4 linked regions of the Drosophila melanogaster genome follow. The protein of the gene in region 1 interacts with the protein of each later gene in a pairwise test. Each region holds a gene or a part of one and is shown on either strand. Other genes may lie near its edges. The genes, in order: CG9083, Hip1, CG13084 and CG3713.

Evidence for each region.
Region 2: the proteins of CG9083 (region 1) and Hip1 interact in a two-hybrid assay, tested with the Drosophila melanogaster proteins (one large-scale study listed by BioGRID).
Region 3: the proteins of CG9083 (region 1) and CG13084 interact in a two-hybrid assay, tested with the Drosophila melanogaster proteins (one large-scale study listed by BioGRID).
Region 4: the proteins of CG9083 (region 1) and CG3713 interact in a two-hybrid assay, tested with the Drosophila melanogaster proteins (one large-scale study listed by BioGRID).

What each region holds. Positions count from the first base shown.
Region 1 is NT_033778.4:24,896,572-24,900,040, forward strand, and holds CG9083 (uncharacterized protein), read left to right. Parts: upstream 1-1,701; 5' UTR 1,702-1,770; coding exon 1,771-1,788; exon of another isoform or gene 1,789-1,856; coding exon 1,857-2,792; 3' UTR 2,793-2,934; downstream 2,935-3,469. Other genes in the region: Tpc2 (thiamine pyrophosphate carrier protein 2), read right to left, coding at 2,962-3,469.
Region 2 is NT_037436.4:12,767,875-12,775,491, forward strand, and holds Hip1 (huntingtin interacting protein 1), read right to left. Parts: upstream 5,700-7,617; 5' UTR 5,437-5,699; coding exon 5,401-5,436; intron 5,346-5,400; exon of another isoform or gene 4,870-5,345; intron 4,710-4,869; coding exon 4,288-4,709; intron 4,229-4,287; coding exon 3,498-4,228; intron 3,442-3,497; coding exon 3,332-3,441; intron 3,268-3,331; coding exon 2,521-3,267; intron 2,465-2,520; coding exon 2,029-2,464; intron 1,963-2,028; coding exon 1,558-1,962; intron 1,501-1,557; coding exon 1,013-1,500; 3' UTR 688-1,012; coding exon of another isoform or gene 637-687; 3' UTR 558-636; downstream 1-557. Other genes in the region: Vps13D (vacuolar protein sorting 13D), read left to right, coding at 1-478, 637-687; CG32106 (uncharacterized protein), read right to left, coding at 6,123-7,521, 7,582-7,617.
Region 3 is NT_033779.5:19,482,938-19,487,074, forward strand, and holds CG13084 (uncharacterized protein), read left to right. Parts: upstream 1-1,992; 5' UTR 1,993-2,035; coding exon 2,036-2,960; intron 2,961-3,019; coding exon 3,020-3,459; 3' UTR 3,460-3,595; downstream 3,596-4,137.
Region 4 is NC_004354.4:845,669-849,202, reverse strand, and holds CG3713 (uncharacterized protein), read left to right. Parts: upstream 1-2,045; 5' UTR 2,046-2,099; coding exon 2,100-2,351; 3' UTR 2,352-3,032; downstream 3,033-3,534.

The sequences.
Region 1 (3,469 bases):
GAGTGCAGCCCATTTGCTCCAGCTCAGCGGCTTCCAGTTCGAACTTCATTCGGCACAGCATCGTGATTATGACCGGCGATGTGGCTTTATTGGCAACAGATTATTGCGTCGGTGTCCCGCTTGCTGCTCCCAGCTAGTTCCTTATGTAAGCCCGCTTTGTTTACAATCCGAAACAGTTTAAATGTATATTAATTATTCGGCAGTGATGGAATCTGCCGAGCGAGCAGTCAGCTGCCTAGCTCCGTAGCTGCCAGATGAGAAATGATAATCAGCGACGTAATCGAAATGGCCGGATGGCCCCGATTCGCTGGCTCGGCCCAAGTCACTCACTGCTAATGAAAACAGTGGCTAATCAACGGCGAAAGCATGGCGGCGGGGGTTGTTGGGGCGTCCAGATTGGTGGGTGGGTGAGTTGGAGGTGTTGGGTGGCCAGTGGCCATGACCTCTCTCCGCTGCCAGTCGGACATCTTGCTGATGTAAGCGCGAACAAAACCCACGGCGCGTTGCCTTTTGCCCATGTTGCAGCGCGGGGGCATGACAAGATATTTTTGATGTTGCTGCAGGCGAGGCTTAACCCAATAGCGCTCGAGAGCCTCTCGCCAAACGGCGACCTGACCTGGCCCAATCCAAAGAACAGTAACTGGCTCCTTCCCTGCCTCACAGCCGCGGCACCACTGCTTCGCGTTGGTAAACAAAATTATATTGATAATTTCCGGCACTGGTACGGCCATCAATGGGTTAATGACTAGCGACAGTGAGCAGCCAGCGGGCAGCAGCCAACCCGGCCAACCCTTGGCCAATCGTTATGCAAGTCTGGACCAACAATAAGGAATTGCCAATAGGAAGTTCGTCGTATCTACATAAAAATCCATAAACATGAACGTCAACAAAATACCTAACGGTTAACAACCAGCATCGGCGATGTGATAAAGTAGCAATAGCAACGAGCTCTGGGCCAAAACTGGAACTGGTCAAGTTGCATATTACCACAGTTTGAGTTTCGGTTTTAGCTATTTTCGGCCGCCAGCCCACGAAGCTTAGGGCCACTCAGATTTTCTCTCGAAAGAAAGTAGAGCACAGAAGCGAATGCTCCTCGAGAGAGTGTGTTAGTGCACTGGGAGAATCCGTGTATTACAATTACAAAATAAAAGTCTTAGATTTAGAAAAACATTTTTATGCAGTATCCAAGCTGCTTTCGTAAAATATGATTTTCTTACGTAAATATAGCAAAAGGAATTTAAGATATCTTTTAGCGATCTTAAATTGGTCTACGAAACCGGTTTTGTTTATCATGTAAAATATTGAAAATGGAAAACCAAAGATGATTGATACACTTAAGTTGGCATCACACCATGGGATTTAAAATAATTTTGAGTCACAGACCCTTTTTTACGTTATCCGTGTGGTATTGCAATTGGGCACATGCTGGGGATGATGATGTGAAAGGTCAACACTCTCGCGATCTTCAGAAAGGGAGAGTGAAGACTGGATGGCCGAGAAGAAGACGAAGACGAAGACGCGGCCAGTTGGCCTTCAATGGGTCGCGGTCGTGAAGTCTCCAGTGGTCTGGCTCCACTTCATTCAGCTCGTCGTCGGCGAAAGAGATTATCTCTGCACTTGCTCAGCGGCAAGCGATCGCTTATATAACCGCATGGCTCCCGAGTGGAGAAGAGGGCTATAAAACGGCGTGTGCCCATGTTTGCCGAATCATTTCCAGTCGGTCCAGAGGCGAGCAATCATTCGAGAGTCCTTCGTAACGAATCCAGAGAAATGGCAGCCCGTTTCATAGTGAGTTTGGCACGACACCACGTCAGTTCAGGTGGATCCTAACACAGATTCCCTCCTCCCACTCCCAGATCAGTGCGCTTCTGCTGGCTAGCCCAGCGGTATGGGGAAAGCCCACCTTCGGACGAGAGCATGTCCACATCCGTATTCACCTGCCAGAGAGCGGTGGGGATCACGGCGGCCACGGAGGCGGTGATTTTGGCGGCCACGGAGGCGGTGATTTTGGCGGCCATGGAGGTGGAGGCTATGAGATTCACTCCCACGATGGCGGATACAGCGGCGGTGGAGGAGGCGGTGGTCATGTGAACACCTATGCTGTTATCACCGAGAACCACGGATACAGTTCCGGGGGTGGCGGAGGCGGTGGAGGTGGCCACGGATACAGCTCCGGCGGATATAGTTCCGGTCATGATGATGCCAAGATTGCTGCCATCGCTGCTGCTGCTGGCTCGTCCTCCGATCACGGACATGGCGGACATGGAGGCAGCGGCGGACACGGCGGAGGTTATGGTGGCCATGCCATCGCCAACATTGCAGCCATCGCCGCCAGCTCAGACTCCTCTGATCATGGTGGCAGCGGAGGATACGGCGGCTACAGCGGTGGCGGTCACAGCGGAGGAGGTCATGACACCCAGGTGATTGTGGCTGCTGCTGCGGCTGGAGATTCACATGGCTCTTCCGGCGGATACGGCGGCGGATCCTCCGGTGGATACAGTGGTGGCTCCTCCGGGGGCTACGATGGTGGATATTCTGGTGGATCCTCTTACAGCGGAGCCTCCTCCTACAGCAGCGGCTCGTCCTACAGCTCTGGAGGATACAGCAGTGGACATGGCGGTGGCTATAGCAGTGGCGGCGGATCCAGCTATGATACACAAGTGGTGGCTGCAGCCGCTGCTTCAGGCAGCGGTGGCTCCTACGGCGGGTCTTCCGGCGGCGGTGGCGACGGATACAGCTACTCAGCGCCGGCCTCAGGCGGCTGGGCAGGATCCAGTTCAAACTGGAAGTAGACGGCAATGTCCGTCGTTGGCCATCTGGTCGTCTAGTCTACTGTTCACGTTTAACTTATATTTGACATGTTCGCTCATCCATATTCCACACATTCTCCCAAGATACTGGTGTACAAAATAAACCATGTTAGTGTAATAATTTAAGCCAGCCGCCCAGTATGTGATTTACCTAATGCTTGCCCAGTTTTTGCCGATTTTTCTCCGCCTCTTTCATCGGAGCTATATAGTGGCGCTTAAACATGTCATAGATGGAGAAGTACACGGCACTCATCAGTCCTGCCTTGAGTAGAGTAGGCAACATTCCCTTATAGAAGCCTCCGATTCCTTCCTCCCGAAACGTGGTGGTGATGCAGCCCAGGATCGTAGGGCACTCGGGGTTGCGACCAAAGGTCTTACGTTCCTGTTTGAAGGCCATCAGCTGGATGCGCTTTTTAAGCAGGTCCGCCGGGTACACGATCATCTTGGCCAACACCCCTGACAGCGCCCCATTGAGAAACAGAAATGCGCCGTGGATTTCCTGGCGCTGGTCGGGAGGCTTGGCCATCAAGACAGCCGCGTTGAGGTACTTGTAGAAGAGAAAGTTTGCCCCTACCAGCGGAAACACCTGCACAAGCGTGAAGGGTAGTCCTCGGGAAAGTCCCATCCACCCCTCCATCTTATAGACCTTTCGAAGTCCG
Region 2 (7,617 bases), on another chromosome or scaffold:
AACTGCCAGTGCCGTTCGTGAAACAAGCCGAGATAGTCACAGAAACGCTCCGGAAAGGAAAAGGCTACCCAGATGTGTGACTGGTGCTCCTGGTGGTCTTTTGCCATTGTATTCCAATCGCCAAAGCAAGGGGCAGCAATATCTGTACCTAATCAATCAAAAGAACTTTTCGGAGAAGATAATTTCATATGAACCCAATCTATGGAGCGACAAGGAGGCTAGATTGCGCTTGCTGGTTTCTACAGAATACGTACGAATCTTTTCACTAAGCGACGCCAATCCAACCATTATGTTTGAATGTCATGTTAGTGAGATTCTTTCGTGCCATCCAGTGGTAACGAATGCCGGCACAACGCCAACCACGAGCAGCAGGGCGTCGGCCAGTCACTACATCGAGATATCAACCAATCTTCCAAAGATTACCAGGCCCAGGATACGGTGTCGTTCCGAGGAATGTGCTGAGGCAGCATCAAGATGCGTAAGTAGAAATCATCTTAGCAGAAATTAGTAGAAATTATCTTTCAATAATAAACTATTATTGTTGAAGCGCAGACTTTGTTTATCATATAATTTATTTACTTTTACAAATTTTGAAATGATTATCACATATATTCCATACTTGTCTTTTTCTTTTAGATAAACTACGCTAAAAGTGTCTTTGATGAACGTGAACATGCCGTTTTATAAAATGCAATAGGTCGGTTCGTGATAATAAACAAAAACCTTTTGACAACAAATGTTACATTTTATTTTCTTTGGCAATAAGTGCTATTTTAATTTCAAGTAGTAAGTAAAATAAACATTTAAGAAATAATGAACCCACATACTATGGTGTGATATAAATCAAGGATCAAAAAGCGATCGACACGGAATACTATAAACAGATATTACGGATTCATTGTAGGATAAAATGACCGCAGTGTAAATATTGTGTAGATATATTATTTGTCATGACGGGCATTAATACAAAAAAGAATGTTTGTAAAGTTAGTAACATTAATAAATATGGTATTTAATAATCGGCATTCTTGTAATGCTCCTTACGAAACGATGAGAGTTTTAGTCGTTGCATTTGGAGAGCTTGTTCGATTTCGAGTACTTTAACATGAATTTCCATTTCCATCGTTTTAATCTGTGATGGCGTTAGCTTAGAAAGTTCTATTTCACTCTGCTGCTCCAGCTGGGAGTTGCAATCCTTCACGGTGGCGACCAGAGTTCCTGTTGCCTGCGTTACGCTTCGCGAGGCTTTTGTGAGGTCGGTTAGCTTTTGACTATTACGTTCAGCCTTGACTTTGCTCGCAATAACCATTTGGGTCGTGCAGGCAGCAATTTCTTGGGCAGCCACAATGAGTTCAAAGTTCTTGCCAGATTCACTTTCAATAGCCTTGTTTGCAGCTTCCACCAGATAGTTGGCTGCCTTCGCCACACTTTTCGAGGCGGATATCAAACCATCTGACCACTGACTGTTCCGCCTATAAAACTCATTAGCACTCGCATTTCCTGAAAGAGTAATTACTTGTCAGTAACTTCATTGAATTAAAAAATATTGTTAGCTACCTTTTTGGGAAGCCACGATTTCGTGTTGCAGGAGACGAGATTTTTGGATTAGAGCTTTGACACATTCCATCAAGGTGGTACACGCATCCACTATTTTTCCGTTTACCTCTAAATTGGTTTGGTTGTCCTTCTCTCGAGCCTTTGCCAGTAGATCTGTAATTTTGGAGGCTGCATCATCAATCGCAGCGTCCATCTCGCGAAGCTCGATTTCGAGCAGCTTATCTAAATCAATCTTCTGTTCAAATGATGCCTTTATTTTCTCAATCAGCTTTTCAATATCTCTCAGCTTTGTTTGTATATCAGTGATTGTTTTCTGTCTCTCGGGTTCTTTTGTTTCATTATTTAATAAGTATTGGAACAATTGACAGATATCGGTACATAACAAATTTGTTTTTGAGAAAATTTCTGCAAAATAAGTAATACAAAGTTAGTTTGCTGTAGGTGGTTATGTTTTTAGTGTTATCAACTTACCCTGACCTGTCTCAATTGCAGTTGTTGTTTTGTAGATAACATCACATTGATCGTATAGTTTTATAAATACATAACCCAGATACATAACATTTTGCAGTCCTTCGGTTGAAGCAACATAGTTTATAGCCGATGCGTTATTGAACTTATTTAAAATGGTCTCCATTTCGCGTATTATGTTTGGCACCGCATCCAAAGGCTGTTGTTCCGATCCGCTCAACTTCGAATTGCATATTTCCTTTACAGTCTTGATCACCAATTTTCTGAGTTCACTCAAATCGGTACTACAGATTTGGTACGAACTTGTCACGGCATCAATTTGCTGTGTTGCTTGGGTTAGTTTTACCTCAGTAAGCGAGAGTTTGCTTTGCAAATCCTCGTTACGCTGACCCGCTGAAGCATTTTCCTGCCTCAATTGATTCACAATTTCCTGGGTTTGCTGAAGAAAGAAAAGCAGTTTCTATAATTTTCTTGATTTAAATTGGTTTCATTTACCTGTAATGCACTCTCATTTTGCTCCAAGTTGTTTAAAGTTAGCTGCAATTGAGCATTTTGTGCTTCGCTGTTGTTTTTATGCTCTATACCTAACTGCTCTATTTTAGTTAATAGCACTGATTTTTCCGCTTCAAATGCCTTTAAATTGTTTTGAATTTCCAATGCCTTTAAGCTGATTTGGCTTTCTGCGCTGGACAGCTGAAGCTTAACTTCATTGAACTCTTTATCCTTTTGTTCCAAGTTATCCATTATTTCTTGCAATTGAGCGTTTTGAGCTTCACTATGGCTTTTACTTTCAACACTCTGTTGTTCAATCTGAGTTAAGAGCAATGCCTTTTCCGCTTCAAAAGCTTTTAGCATTTTCTCGATATCCTCGGTCTTTGCATTTATTTGGCTTTCGGCGTTCGACAGTTTTTCCAGGGTGTCATTGAGGTTTCCATTAAGCTCTTCGACTTTGAGGCAATTTAGCCTCAGGTTTTCGGAAGTGGAAATAATATCGAGTTCCTGAATTTCCTTTTGTTTAACCACATCATCGAATTTCTCCTTCATCTCGTTTTTGACTGCTTCAAGATGTGCTATTTTCTCCTTGTGCTCTTCGATTTGCTTTTGCAGAATCAAGTTTGTTTTCTCTTTTTCCTCTACGTTTACTTTAATTTTGGAAATTTCATTGGTAAGCTCCTTAGTTTCCAACAATAGTTGTGAGTTTACTTGTTTCTCTTTATTTAAGGACTTGTTGCAATCACTTTGCTGATATAAAAGTATATGAATGAATATTAGTATAGGAAATAGAAAATATTGTGTTTCTGCATACCTCTCTCAGCAGCTGAATGTGCTCATCTCGAATCTTTGTGTATAGAGTTTTAAGTTTATTAAACTTTTCCGACGACAACTTGTGCTTTTCTTCTTCCTCCATAGCTTTTTCTGAAATACAAGGTATTTTTATATGACTTCATTATGTTTAATAAGCATTTAATTACGTAAAAGAATTGGGTTCTGATTCAGTTGCATCTCAAGATCGTCATTTTGCATCCGAAAGGTGGCACACATTTCTCTCGCCAAGACCAGATCATTTGACAGCACAGTATTGTTCTGTTGCAACTCCTGAACGTCGTGTCTGTAGCTTTGCTGCAGTGCGTCGAAATTTTTTTGCATTGCGTCCAATTTGAATGACAGCTCCTCAATGCTAGCCTCTTTCTCGCTGATTATACCCTCCAACATGCTAAGCTGCTGCTGGGCTTGACTGAAGGCTTCCAGCTCGTGATTGTTGGTATCCACAAGGTCTTCAACAACCGGATCGGGCTCCTGGGGAACGTGAACCACTGGCGGTACATAACTGGTGAAATCGTTTTGGGACTTGAAGTTAGGACTTGAGTCCGGCAATTCCGGGATTGTTATTAGGTCCTTGAAATACTGAAGCGGTCGCACGTTGTTGTAAAAACTCTTCAACTTTAAAAACAGACCGTGAAAGCGATCTCTGTGTCCGGAAACAACGTCGTATGGTACACCATCGTGTAGTTTAAACATTAACCGAACGCTTAAATCGTACAACGCATTGGAATCCTGGATAAGGCAAACTATTGGCGCTAATCTACATTGTCCCTGCGGTGTCATCGACGACATTCTGTACTTTTCCATAGATGAAAATATCGTCAATTGCAGCGCAATTATATCCTCCAAGTAGTCGAAAATTTCCACGCACAGTTGAAAACTGGAATCAATGGTTCTGTCTCAGTAGTTTGAAAGTAATATATATCTATTTTTACTTACCAATAATTTAAATCCCTATCCACAGCAATGAAGAGTTCCGTGAACGAAATGTTCAGGGTGCCGGGAAACATTCGATTTTTGTCGTGGAAGTTTAATTTTGTGGCCAAGAGCTTACTATACGCCTGTATGCAGCATCCAATATCGTCCTGCAGCAGGCCCCACATTTTTCCCACCTCCAGTATCATCTTCTTGTGGCTCTGCGAGTGGCGGATGGCACTTTCATGACCCTCTCGCAGGACCTTGTGCAGCAGATGCGAAAACTTCCAGGCAGTAAATCTACTCTGCATCAAAGGCTGCCGGGAGATGATCATCCAGAATGTTTTGGCCTCTTTGGCCTTGTGTATCATAATAATAATGGAGCGGGCATGTTTGGTTTTGAGTGGCGCTTCCAGGCCATTTAAAGCTTTGGACACGCTGACGTTCTGAAATGAAATGTAAATATTATAGTTTAAATGGCTTTTTATTGTTGTACACTTTCGAAGAAGTGACTGACTCAGCTTATAAGATATGGACGGATTTTGGCGGACGATATCTATAGTTTTATACTTTTTAGTGGAATTCGATCTAAAGGGGGTGACTCACTGATCGACTATTTAGTTTGGAAGTGCAAACATTTCGATGCTTTTAAAAATAAGATTCCAAACACCTACACCATGTGTTTGATATGAATTTATGATAACAGAAGGTAATCTAAATACTGGATTTCACTTCTTATCGTGCCGAATTTGGGTTGATAATCAAAAAATTTGAAAGGCCTTTGTGTGCACATTGAACAATTGATCAAAGTGGATGTAGTCCGCATAGCATTCATTGCAGTTTCTAATTTTCTGGGTCATCCGAAGCGGAGAAACTTGGGATTAGCATGTAGTGTAGTCTCTGTGGTGTTGCAAGTCGTGTGAAAAGCTGATGATATTTCGAGCTGTTCCATATAATCTGGTTCAAGGCTGACTTCTTAAGTGAAATGTTTATGCATATTTGAGCGGCGCGCCTGTAGTTGTGTGCATAAACATTTAGGTATTTACACTATGCACATGATATGACAACATCCGTGTGCCTATAATCTGCTGTGGGTATTCTTGGCGGTTTTCTTGGCTTTCCTTTGGGCTTACGTACCAGGTGGTAGAACTCCTTTTCGGCGTGAGTTGCCATTGTTTACTGACAATTCTTGGCGTACTTGCTGAACAAATTCGAATCATTCGCAGCGCGATATATGTGCATTAGAGCAAAGACAGCAAAGACATTGGAAACGGGAGTTATCTTATCTTATCAACAATGTTGGCCATTGTTTTCGTATTGGTCGCGTTCGTATTCATTCGGATTCCGATCGTGTGCGTGTATGAAACAATGAGTGTAAGAGTAAATTAGTCATATAAACAAATGTTGTTTTCCTTTATCGATAAAAGTTAATAGAGCTGGGCGGTGTTCCGATATGCGGGCTTTACCCTATCGATTCGTTTCGATAGTCATCAACTTCTTGCATCACCATTTTGAGCGCGAAAAAAAATGTTTTGCAAATTTTTATTTTTTTCCATTAAATCGAAGGATATTTGAATTGAAATACACTTAAATGAACCAATATTTAAATTATAACATCGAACGCTTTCAATAAAACTTCAGTTAAGTTAAAAATTTAATTTAATTTGATTTTATACGATGGTTTAAAAAAAAGCTTTAGAATGTGTTTTTGAAATTTTTGTGTACTGATTTTCTAAAAAGATAGATTTTGTTCGATATTTATAGATCTGCTACCATATTTTTACTTTAAATAAAAGAACGACAATTTTAATTTGTTTTTAAAGTAATTTTAATTTAATGTATTCTTCCAACTGTTTGGATTAAATTTGGTATTCCGATTGATCATAGTAATCCAAATGTACATTTTGCTGTGGCCAAAACATCTCGGCTGGGTATTGGTTTTGTGGTGGAATGTAACGTCGATTGGGATCTGGAACGGATGTCATCATCAGTTGCGGATGATGATATTGATTGCTATAAGGACAAGCGTGGTGTCTGAAAGTAGGATGCTGTTCTCCGTGAACAAAATTTGGCTGCAGTGAAAATTCCGGTGGCTGGAAGTTGGAATCCATGCGTGTTATATTATACTTATTCACGGTGCGTTCATAGAATCCATCTGGAAGCATTCGAATGTTCTCTTTTAGTTGAGGATTGTAGTCAGGGTTTCTGGCCTGAGAGGAACTTGGGTCTGAAGTATGTACAGATTCCTGAAAATGATGATAGGATCCATGATCCGGCTGACATTGTTCCTTCATTTGAAATTGATGCTGCACGGCTGGTGCTGAAGCTGGTGACTTAGTGGGCATCCACTGATCCCGCGGATCTATAAGGTACCCTTCATCGAAAGGAGTGACATTTTGTGGAGCACTCACAGAGATCTGCGGTTGTAGCATATGATCCGGTGGCTTCGTAAATCCTTGATGGAGACTCGGAGGAAGACCCGTGTATTGATAAGGACACGAGTTACAGGGCGGTCGTCCACAGGTCTGGAGTAGAATTTCCCTGTTACAGGGAGTTCTTGTCTCTATAAGAACGGTGTTCCCATTGATATTTGCCTGGTTTCTGATCCCAGCACTTTCACAACTACGAAGTTTTCGAGGTTGCATTAGGGTTACCGTTTCCAGTGTTTCCACGTCAGTCGATGTATTGGGAGCTAGTAATTGGGAGTTCGGAGGTGGATCTGTCCAAGTTAAGTCAGTAGAATACCCAGAAGCTCCAACCATAGCTGAATTATGCGACCCGTCCTCGTTTTGATGACTATCGCGATGGCTTTGGTCACTATTATTTCTATCACAAGCTAGGTATTCATCTTGTCTGTGCTGGTCAGGATATTGGCTGCTGGCCGAAATGAATCTTCCGCCTTGCGAATTGTTTGAATCATTTCTTTGAATACGTCTAAGTACTGGGTAAGATGTTTGGGATGGGGCTTTTCGTCTATTTTCTGAGGATGGTGGATTGTTACTCAAAGAATCAGAAACGCCTGGATGATTCTGCAGATTCCTATTTCTCCTTTCAATAGATTGCTCTGCTGTATTCGTTCTAGTAGATGGCGAAGAAGCTAGAACAAATACACCGTTCATTTGGCCAACAGAAGAATTGCAGTTTCGATTCTTCGTCCTTTTTGTTTTCTGGGTTTGTAGTCGAACGTGTCTTGTAGTCGCTGGTGCCATTTGAAATTGATTGGTATTGAGTCTGGTGAAGTTTAGACCAAATTTCCTCCTGAAATATGTTTGGATTAAAAGTAAGAGATCATAATTGTCGGAAAAGAAGAACACTCACAATTGTTTTGGCTGGGAAATGCCCAATTCTTCAGTG
Region 3 (4,137 bases), on another chromosome or scaffold:
CTTAACTTTAAATTAAACTGTACATTTTTTAATTAAAATTGTCCCATAAAATAATAATTAATGCTCTTAGGAGACACCGTCGTGATAATTTGATGGCCAGCTAAAGCCGCTTAAAATAATTTCAAAACACCAATTTGTGACTGCCCCATTTCAGGATTCACATTTAGCATCTTATCAGAGCTTAGCAGCTGGGGTCACCACCCGTCCAGCTACGGAATGTGATTACAGCTTTTGGCGCTCCGCCTGAAATTTCAGCGGTTTCAAGTGTCCATTTGGCGGCGCAATATTTAACTCCAAGTTTCGAACACCAGGACCATAGGTATAGCGATGCAGATGCTTTGAACGAGCCCTAAACTCTTCTTCTGATCCCGGAAAACTGATTATTTCGTGAACCAAGTGAGGTTCGGGAACATAGAAGTCATCGCCTAAGGTAAATGATTATTTAAAAAAAATGATTTGGATATTACACTGAATATTCCTTTAACATACCAGGTAAGACGAAAACCATAGAGCCCTGGCAGTTATAACCAATCGGCAAGAACATGGTCGTTCCCAATCCGCTGCGCTTGATGGCAAATTCCAACAGGGATTGATACGCCTTAATTCCCATCAACCGGGACAATTCGTAGACCTGTGGTGGCATGAACCAAACATTGCCCAAATCAGCCAGTCGCAGCAGTTCAACGGGTGTCAGCCACTATATACATAAATAACTCGTTTATTGTGAATTTGGGGTTTAAAAGATAAACCTTACCAGCGTTTCCTTGACCTCGGAAGGTTCTTCCAGCAATTCGGGCTGCTTGTCCACAAAAGCCATGAAGAAAACGGTTTCATGCCTATTAAGTGTAATATAATCTATATTAGAACCAAGAACTTTACCATACTTTTTTTAGATTACTAAGCAAAGAAATTAAGCTTTCATTTATGATTTTTTTGTGACCCCATACCCACCCTTTGCGTATGAATCCTGGACTCGCCCAGGCAGACCACTCATGCAGAGCCCACAAATCTGGAACTACATTTAGCTCGCGGCAGAGAGTTAGAAACTCAGCCGGCTTGTTGTGCACCCTTCGCTGCCACGACTCCAGGTCTGGAACAGCCTGAGCGCAAGTTACCGCACCAAAATCCAGTTGACTCCGACTCCGGCAAAGCAACAGACCCACCTCTTCAAAGCATTCCCTCACGGCGGTTAGTCGCAGCGTAATCTCCCTAAAAAGACAAAGGTCATAGATTAAACTCCCAATGTGACAGAGTTTAGCGCAACCTTTGGACTCACCGAGCCCAAATGCGGGAACGCTTAAAGAACCGATCGTAGCAGCCAGTGCCCTGGGGCGCCAGAATGGCAGGACGATCTTCGCGGATGAGAACCAGGCGGCGTAGTGCCTCTTGTGGAACACCAAACTCCTCGAGGTAGTGCAGCCAGGCGACGCTTTCATCGGCCCCAGAGTCCAAGAGGCCACCGGGAAATACAGTCTGATTGAGCGCAATCGCCGTGGCATCACTGCGTTTTAGCATAAGCACCTGAAAGGTCAGGATTATGGTTATCCGCTTTTGGAAATGGCCTCTTCACTTTCCTTGTAATCTTTGTTATTGCCATCATCTCTGGACACCAGGATTACACTGGCCGAGGTGCGCCACTTGGTAGGAGATGCAGGTTGGCTCATATCTGCTTTTATTTAGCCAAATGAGTAGCAAAACTGTTTAGTTCCATCCACAAAGAAAACGAAATCAAAAGGTTGTTTTGTTCCCTCCAATCAGCTGATTGGTCGATAGGCACGATAACGACTCCTGTGCAAAAAAAAATCGATCGATAGCCGCCTAATCAAAGCGCTGAATATTTGAAGTTTGAATTCGTGCGAAATTCAAACTTTACCTTTTTGGTCAGATTACCATGCAGAAGCGAGCACGAAGAGCAAAAAACCCAAATAGATTAGTTCCAATCCACACGTGTTCGCAAACATATTTAAGCTCTGCCCTTGGACAACAAAAGACACTTGCAATTGGTGTTTCCAGTCGAAAACAACTTGCAGTTGAAATGAAAGTACTGATCACGTTCTTCTTTCTGGGCGCCTGCCTCTGCGGCATCCAAGCGGATGAGAGCATCGCTGACCTCTTGAAGGACAATGCGAAGGGCGTACAGGCAGCCAATGTGCTCCTGACCCGGATTGCCCAAGTAAGCGAGCAGACTCAGGTCGGTTTGGCAGAGCAAAAGGAGGCACTGAAGGCCCTGACGCTCGTGGAGAAGCTGCTAGCCAAGTTGACTGTCGTTCTGGAGGTTGGCTCCCACAATCTGGTGGCCACCCTTGAGAACCTCTCTAGGCAGGGCGAGGAATACGGCAATCGAACGGAGTCAGAGCTCCTGGAATTGGTGCGTCTGCAGGAGGGCACCAAGGAGATACTCAATGTCCTGGAGGCCAAGCTGGATGCCTATCAGAGGCACGTGCTCCATAGTTCCCGCAACATTGACAACAGCATCGACGGACTGGCCAAACTTATTACTAGGACGGTGTTGCCACAATTGAATGGGCTAAAGTGTACCTTCGATAGCTTGGAGACGTCCCAAATCAACGTGGAGGTGGAGCTGAAGAACTTGGCCGGAGTCAAGGAGCTCAGCGAGAACTCCAACTTCAAGCTGAACGTGCTGGAGCATCAATTGAAGCAGCTGAATCGCACTCAGGAGCAGCGCTTGGACATCCTAATCGATGCAGTCAAGCATTTGCAGCCCCACAGTTCCTGGAAAGTGGAGGCTGTTCTCCGCGAACTGATCATCTCGCAGAAACGCATCGAACTGGGTCTGGAAGAGTGCAGCCGACAACAGCCCTATCCGCAATATGGCCATCACGACGAGTCCTATCTTCCCACCTACGGAGCTGAGGTCCCAGAGCCGCAGCATGCTCATCCTAAGCCCAAGCAAGTGGATCTGGAACAGGTGTGGAGCATCAAGGAGGAGCCCAAGCACGGTAAGTGGTCCTTATTGCCACCAGATTAGGATCACAAATTAATGGCTTGTCGTTCATAGGAGAGCACTCTGGAAACCACAAAGCTACCGCCTATGCCCAGTCCCCCGAGCCAAAGAAGAACTATCAGAGCTCCAGCGCCGTGTCCTGGCGGCAGACGGTGCCGTGGGAGTACGGATCCCCATACCAGTCCGCTCCAGTTCACCACCATCAGCCATGGAACCCAGCTCCGGCCCACGTTCCCACCTCCGTTACCAAGCCCAAGCCGTGCCCCAAGAAAGAGCACCCTACTCCGGCATCCTATGTTCCTTTGCCACATGACCAGCCTGAATCCTACAAGCTTCCTGTGGATTACAGTCCCAAACCTAACCACGAGCAACCTCATAAGCCCCACCACGAGCCACAGTCTTACAATGAGGAGATCTACAAGCCACAGCCCATCCAGCCAGGAGAATCCTTCAGGATTTGGTATGGAGACAGTTCCCTCCCCCAAGGATACTAAAGGAAGATTTAACTGGGACTACCACTGTTACTGAAACTGATACAACTTTTCAAAGCATTTAACAAACTCTTTTTTTTTAATTCAGATTCATTACTTTGTACAATTTTTATGTTTTATAAATAAATAAAAAAAAAGCAAAGGAAATACATTTTTGATTATATTCCTAGCAAGTAATTAATAAATAACTTTTGAGAAAAAATGCTATAGTTTCATGGAAATCATATGCATCAACTTTTAGCATCGTATGCGAAAATATACATTCAATTTCCAAAAACTTTTCTCAAAATCTATTCAAAATATACGAAGAAATTTTTGTTATTTTGTATGTTTTGTAGGTAAATAAATTCACCTTACTATTAACCTATGCTATTGTTTGTTGATAGAAGCAAATTTTAAAAATATTTTAAGCTTTTTTAAAAGTTAATAGTAAAGGATCCAAGTTTGTTTAAATTTGCAAAAGGCATCTTGGCCAATTTTTGAATAGGCATGATAATATGAAGGATAATTAATTATACTGCTGTTTTCGAAATAGGAAACAAAATATAGACTTATTAAACTTTTACAAAATTACTTTAGTTCGCTTTATTACTTTATTTCTTGTAAACGATAGACAGTATGCCCGAAAACATTTGTTACGTTATCATTACCTTCGAAGACCTATTTTCTGAATGAATTTGA
Region 4 (3,534 bases), on another chromosome or scaffold:
GTCAATTTCGATGGCGACCGAGAGCAAGAACTTTGCCGCTCTAAGCTGAGCTGCCTTCGACTTTGCCTAGCTGCTAATTAGTTCAGCCAGGCGGGGATGCTGCAAGTGCCGGCGCAGGTGCAGCAGTCGCCCTTGGCACATTAGACGTAATGAGAAGTCGTCGGCAGCAGTGGTAAAACGCCCCTCTAATGGCTCCGCAGGCAAAACACTTGCAAAGGAAGCTCAAAATTGTATTATTATTACTTTCGCGTGAAACTGTGGAAATAGGCGCTGTGCTGCTTGTACTCCCATTTGGGTTTAAGGTGGAGTAATGGGTATCTGATAGTCGGGGAACTCGACTCCAGCGTTCTCTGTTGGAAAATGGGCCTTTTGCTAAGACATTAAGCATACGCAGAGTAACAAAAACATGTAGTCCTTGCTGGACCTGATTTTTCTCACTGCATGCATGTGGGGGATAGGTTAAAGAGAAAATGGAAATTGCGGGAATGGGAATGGTGAATGGTGAATGGGAGAGGGGAAACGCGCAGTGCAGTGCCGTGGGGCAAACTCAATGCCGGCCCAGGCCTCCCATGTGTGTTTGTGGCAAGTTAATGACACACCTTAACCCATGTTAACCTAGTTTTTCATGTTGTGGTTATTCTTGTCGTGCTTGTTCTTCTTTCCACTTGACCCAAAGCCCAAAAAAAAAAAAGGAGAGTGGTGTGGAGAGGATGTCGGTGCGTATGGGCCTGGCCTTCATGCGGTTGACATGAATTTGACTGTGGCATGATTGGCCTACTTTCTGTCTTTTGCTTGCGCTCTAGGCTTTTTCGCATAAATAAGCTATTTGTGACCAATTTGCATTTTCCGCGTTATATTTCTTAACTGACACAATAAAAAGTTCGAAAGGCGAATGACGGCAGAATAGGAAGAGCTATAGCAAAATCCAACATATAAACAAACAATGCCCAAAGGGCAGCATAGATCTAGGGTAAGATCAGCATAAGAAAAAAATGGAAAAATGGACCGAGTGCGTTTAATTAGTCACATTCCGACATCATAATACCTTTAATAAAGCAACCAACTTAATATTAACAAATGGGGACCATAAAGTGTGAAATGTGGAGCGGGAGTCCTCAAAGGACCTGCGGATGGCAAGCAATGGCCTTCATTTATTTTCCTCAGCCGCAGCTGCTGCTTCTTTCTCAGCTTGTTAAGCATAATTAAAATCACAGAGCGGGATGGAGAGAGGCGCAGAGAGCCAGGGAGGAGAGGGACAGAGCTAGTGAGTAAGTGTGATTAAAAGATTGCAAATTTCTCACTCTTATTCATTTTTTTTAAGCTCTTCTTTCTGGCCAAATTGAATTTTTCGTTGCAGCAGACAGCGAGTGAGTGAGTAGGACAGAGCAGAAATGCATTGAACTGATCAGGGTAGTAACAGCACCATGTAGAATCGAAACTTTATTCACGTTAAATCCCCAATTATGTTGGTCTAAATAATGCTTGGTATTAAATAGTAGTATTCCCTGCAGAGGGCTCAAAAGTGTTTTTTTTTTTTGTTTTTGTGGAACGGAAGCCACCTCGCAATTCGACTTTAATGAGTAAACAGGGCGTGCAGACGCTATGCAAATGCTTTAGTCCCATTGAATTTGATGGCCGCGCATAAATGTAATTATAATGTGCATTCTATACAGCAACAAACATAAATGCATAAGTGCATAAATGCGCGCGCGTGTGTGTGTGGACAGTGGATTACGTAATGCCGATGCAGTGAATACGATATAATGTGCTATGCATAATGCATGATCGCACTCCTTAATCAACGCCAAACAAGCGACATTTAATTTTAATTTTAATTAATTTTGTCATTTGCTTTTTACACCGATGACGATGGATTTACCGGAAAACGAGCGAGTCTGTAATCCATCCATTTTCGAATTCTGCTGTGGACGCAGCTGTGCTGTGGATTGTGGGGCGTGGGGCTTGGAGCGCGGATTTGTGAACGCGTGGATGCCTGGGGCTGTAGAAGTAGTAGGGTAGTATAGTAGTAGGTGGGCCTCCGATATCGTCAGTGCTGCGAAATCAGCTGTCGGGCGAGCACCGCATAATCAGAGGTGGGGATGTTTCTGGGCTTCTTGGTGGATCTGCTGTACTGCCGACGCTGCGGGGACGACTGTATGATGGAATTCCCATCGACTTCCGCGAATGAAGAAGCAGCGCCGAAAGTGGTAAAGGTCGAACTGCCGCCGCTGCCGCCACTGACCTTTGAACTCATCCGCAATCCATTGGCTGCCGACCAGGAGTGCGATGATAGCTTCGAAGGCTTCGTCGATGGTTATGATGATCCCAGGCTGCCGGAAACCATCATCTGATTCAAAAAAAGCTTGCCACTCACTGGCATTCCGCACTCCGCTTCATTTGGTTTAATTAAAACTCTTTTTGCCATAATCCAATTAAGACCAAAGGCAAAAACCAAATGACAACAAATGGCATAATGGCCAGACAACAAAACAGACGGCAAAAAATAGAAAAACTCGACAAACTCAAACAAAGCTCCGCACAAAGCAAAAAAAAAAAAACTGAACAAAACAAAATGCAAACAAACAATGCAATAAAATTCAATTACAACAAAATTTTAATTAACTTTTTGCAATCAAAACACAAACCAAATGAGGAGACAACTGGCATCCGAATTGAAAGCCAATAAAAATGGGCGTAATAACCTAACCAATCTACAGGTCATCGATGGACAGGAGAGGGTTAAACGAATCTGACAAAGGCTGTGTACGTTAGCTTCAAATGGGATAGGATTACTTGAGTGTATCATGTTATGTGTGCAAAAGTTTAAAAATGTATATGCACGCACATATGGTAAATGTTTGGATTCGATTGGGAGCACCAAAGAACCAGGCACAGTTTTCCAAACAATAGAAACTACTCGTAGTCGTGTGCCAACTATCGGATACCTTATAGTCTGTATTAAAGTTTGTTATTGACTTATTTACTCTACGAGTACTGATGGAAATGAGTATAAATATGAAAATATTGTTTGTAAACTGTTAAAATGTTTTATTTCGTTTTGTGGGGCGGTAGGTCGCATTACGTATACGACGCGCAGACCACAGAGTAATACGTTTCTAAAGCAAGTTTGCAGTTGCACTGTTTCATTGTTGACCTATCAATTGGGCTCTTCTTCCGGTCGTAGCATACAGTCAGTGTGAACTCGTTTCTTCCAAAGCAATTCCGAGTCGGATAAGACACAGCTACTGCAGCCCATCAAGATCTGCTTCCATGCTCCTTGCAGCATTGTCCACCCACCCTTTAAGACCTCCTATATATTCACATCTGTATCGCAATCGCGAGAAAGACAACTTTTAGTGCGACATTCGCTGGAAACTTTCAGCAGAGCGGCAAACGACACCTAAACCGACTAATGGGCAAAGTCACCTCCTTTGGCAGTAGTGGCTTCGGGGGTTTACTTCACCCATTGTGAGCCATTTGTTTGCTGGAATTGCATTCGTGGCTGCGAAATAACATTTTCCGTTTCCGTTCTTG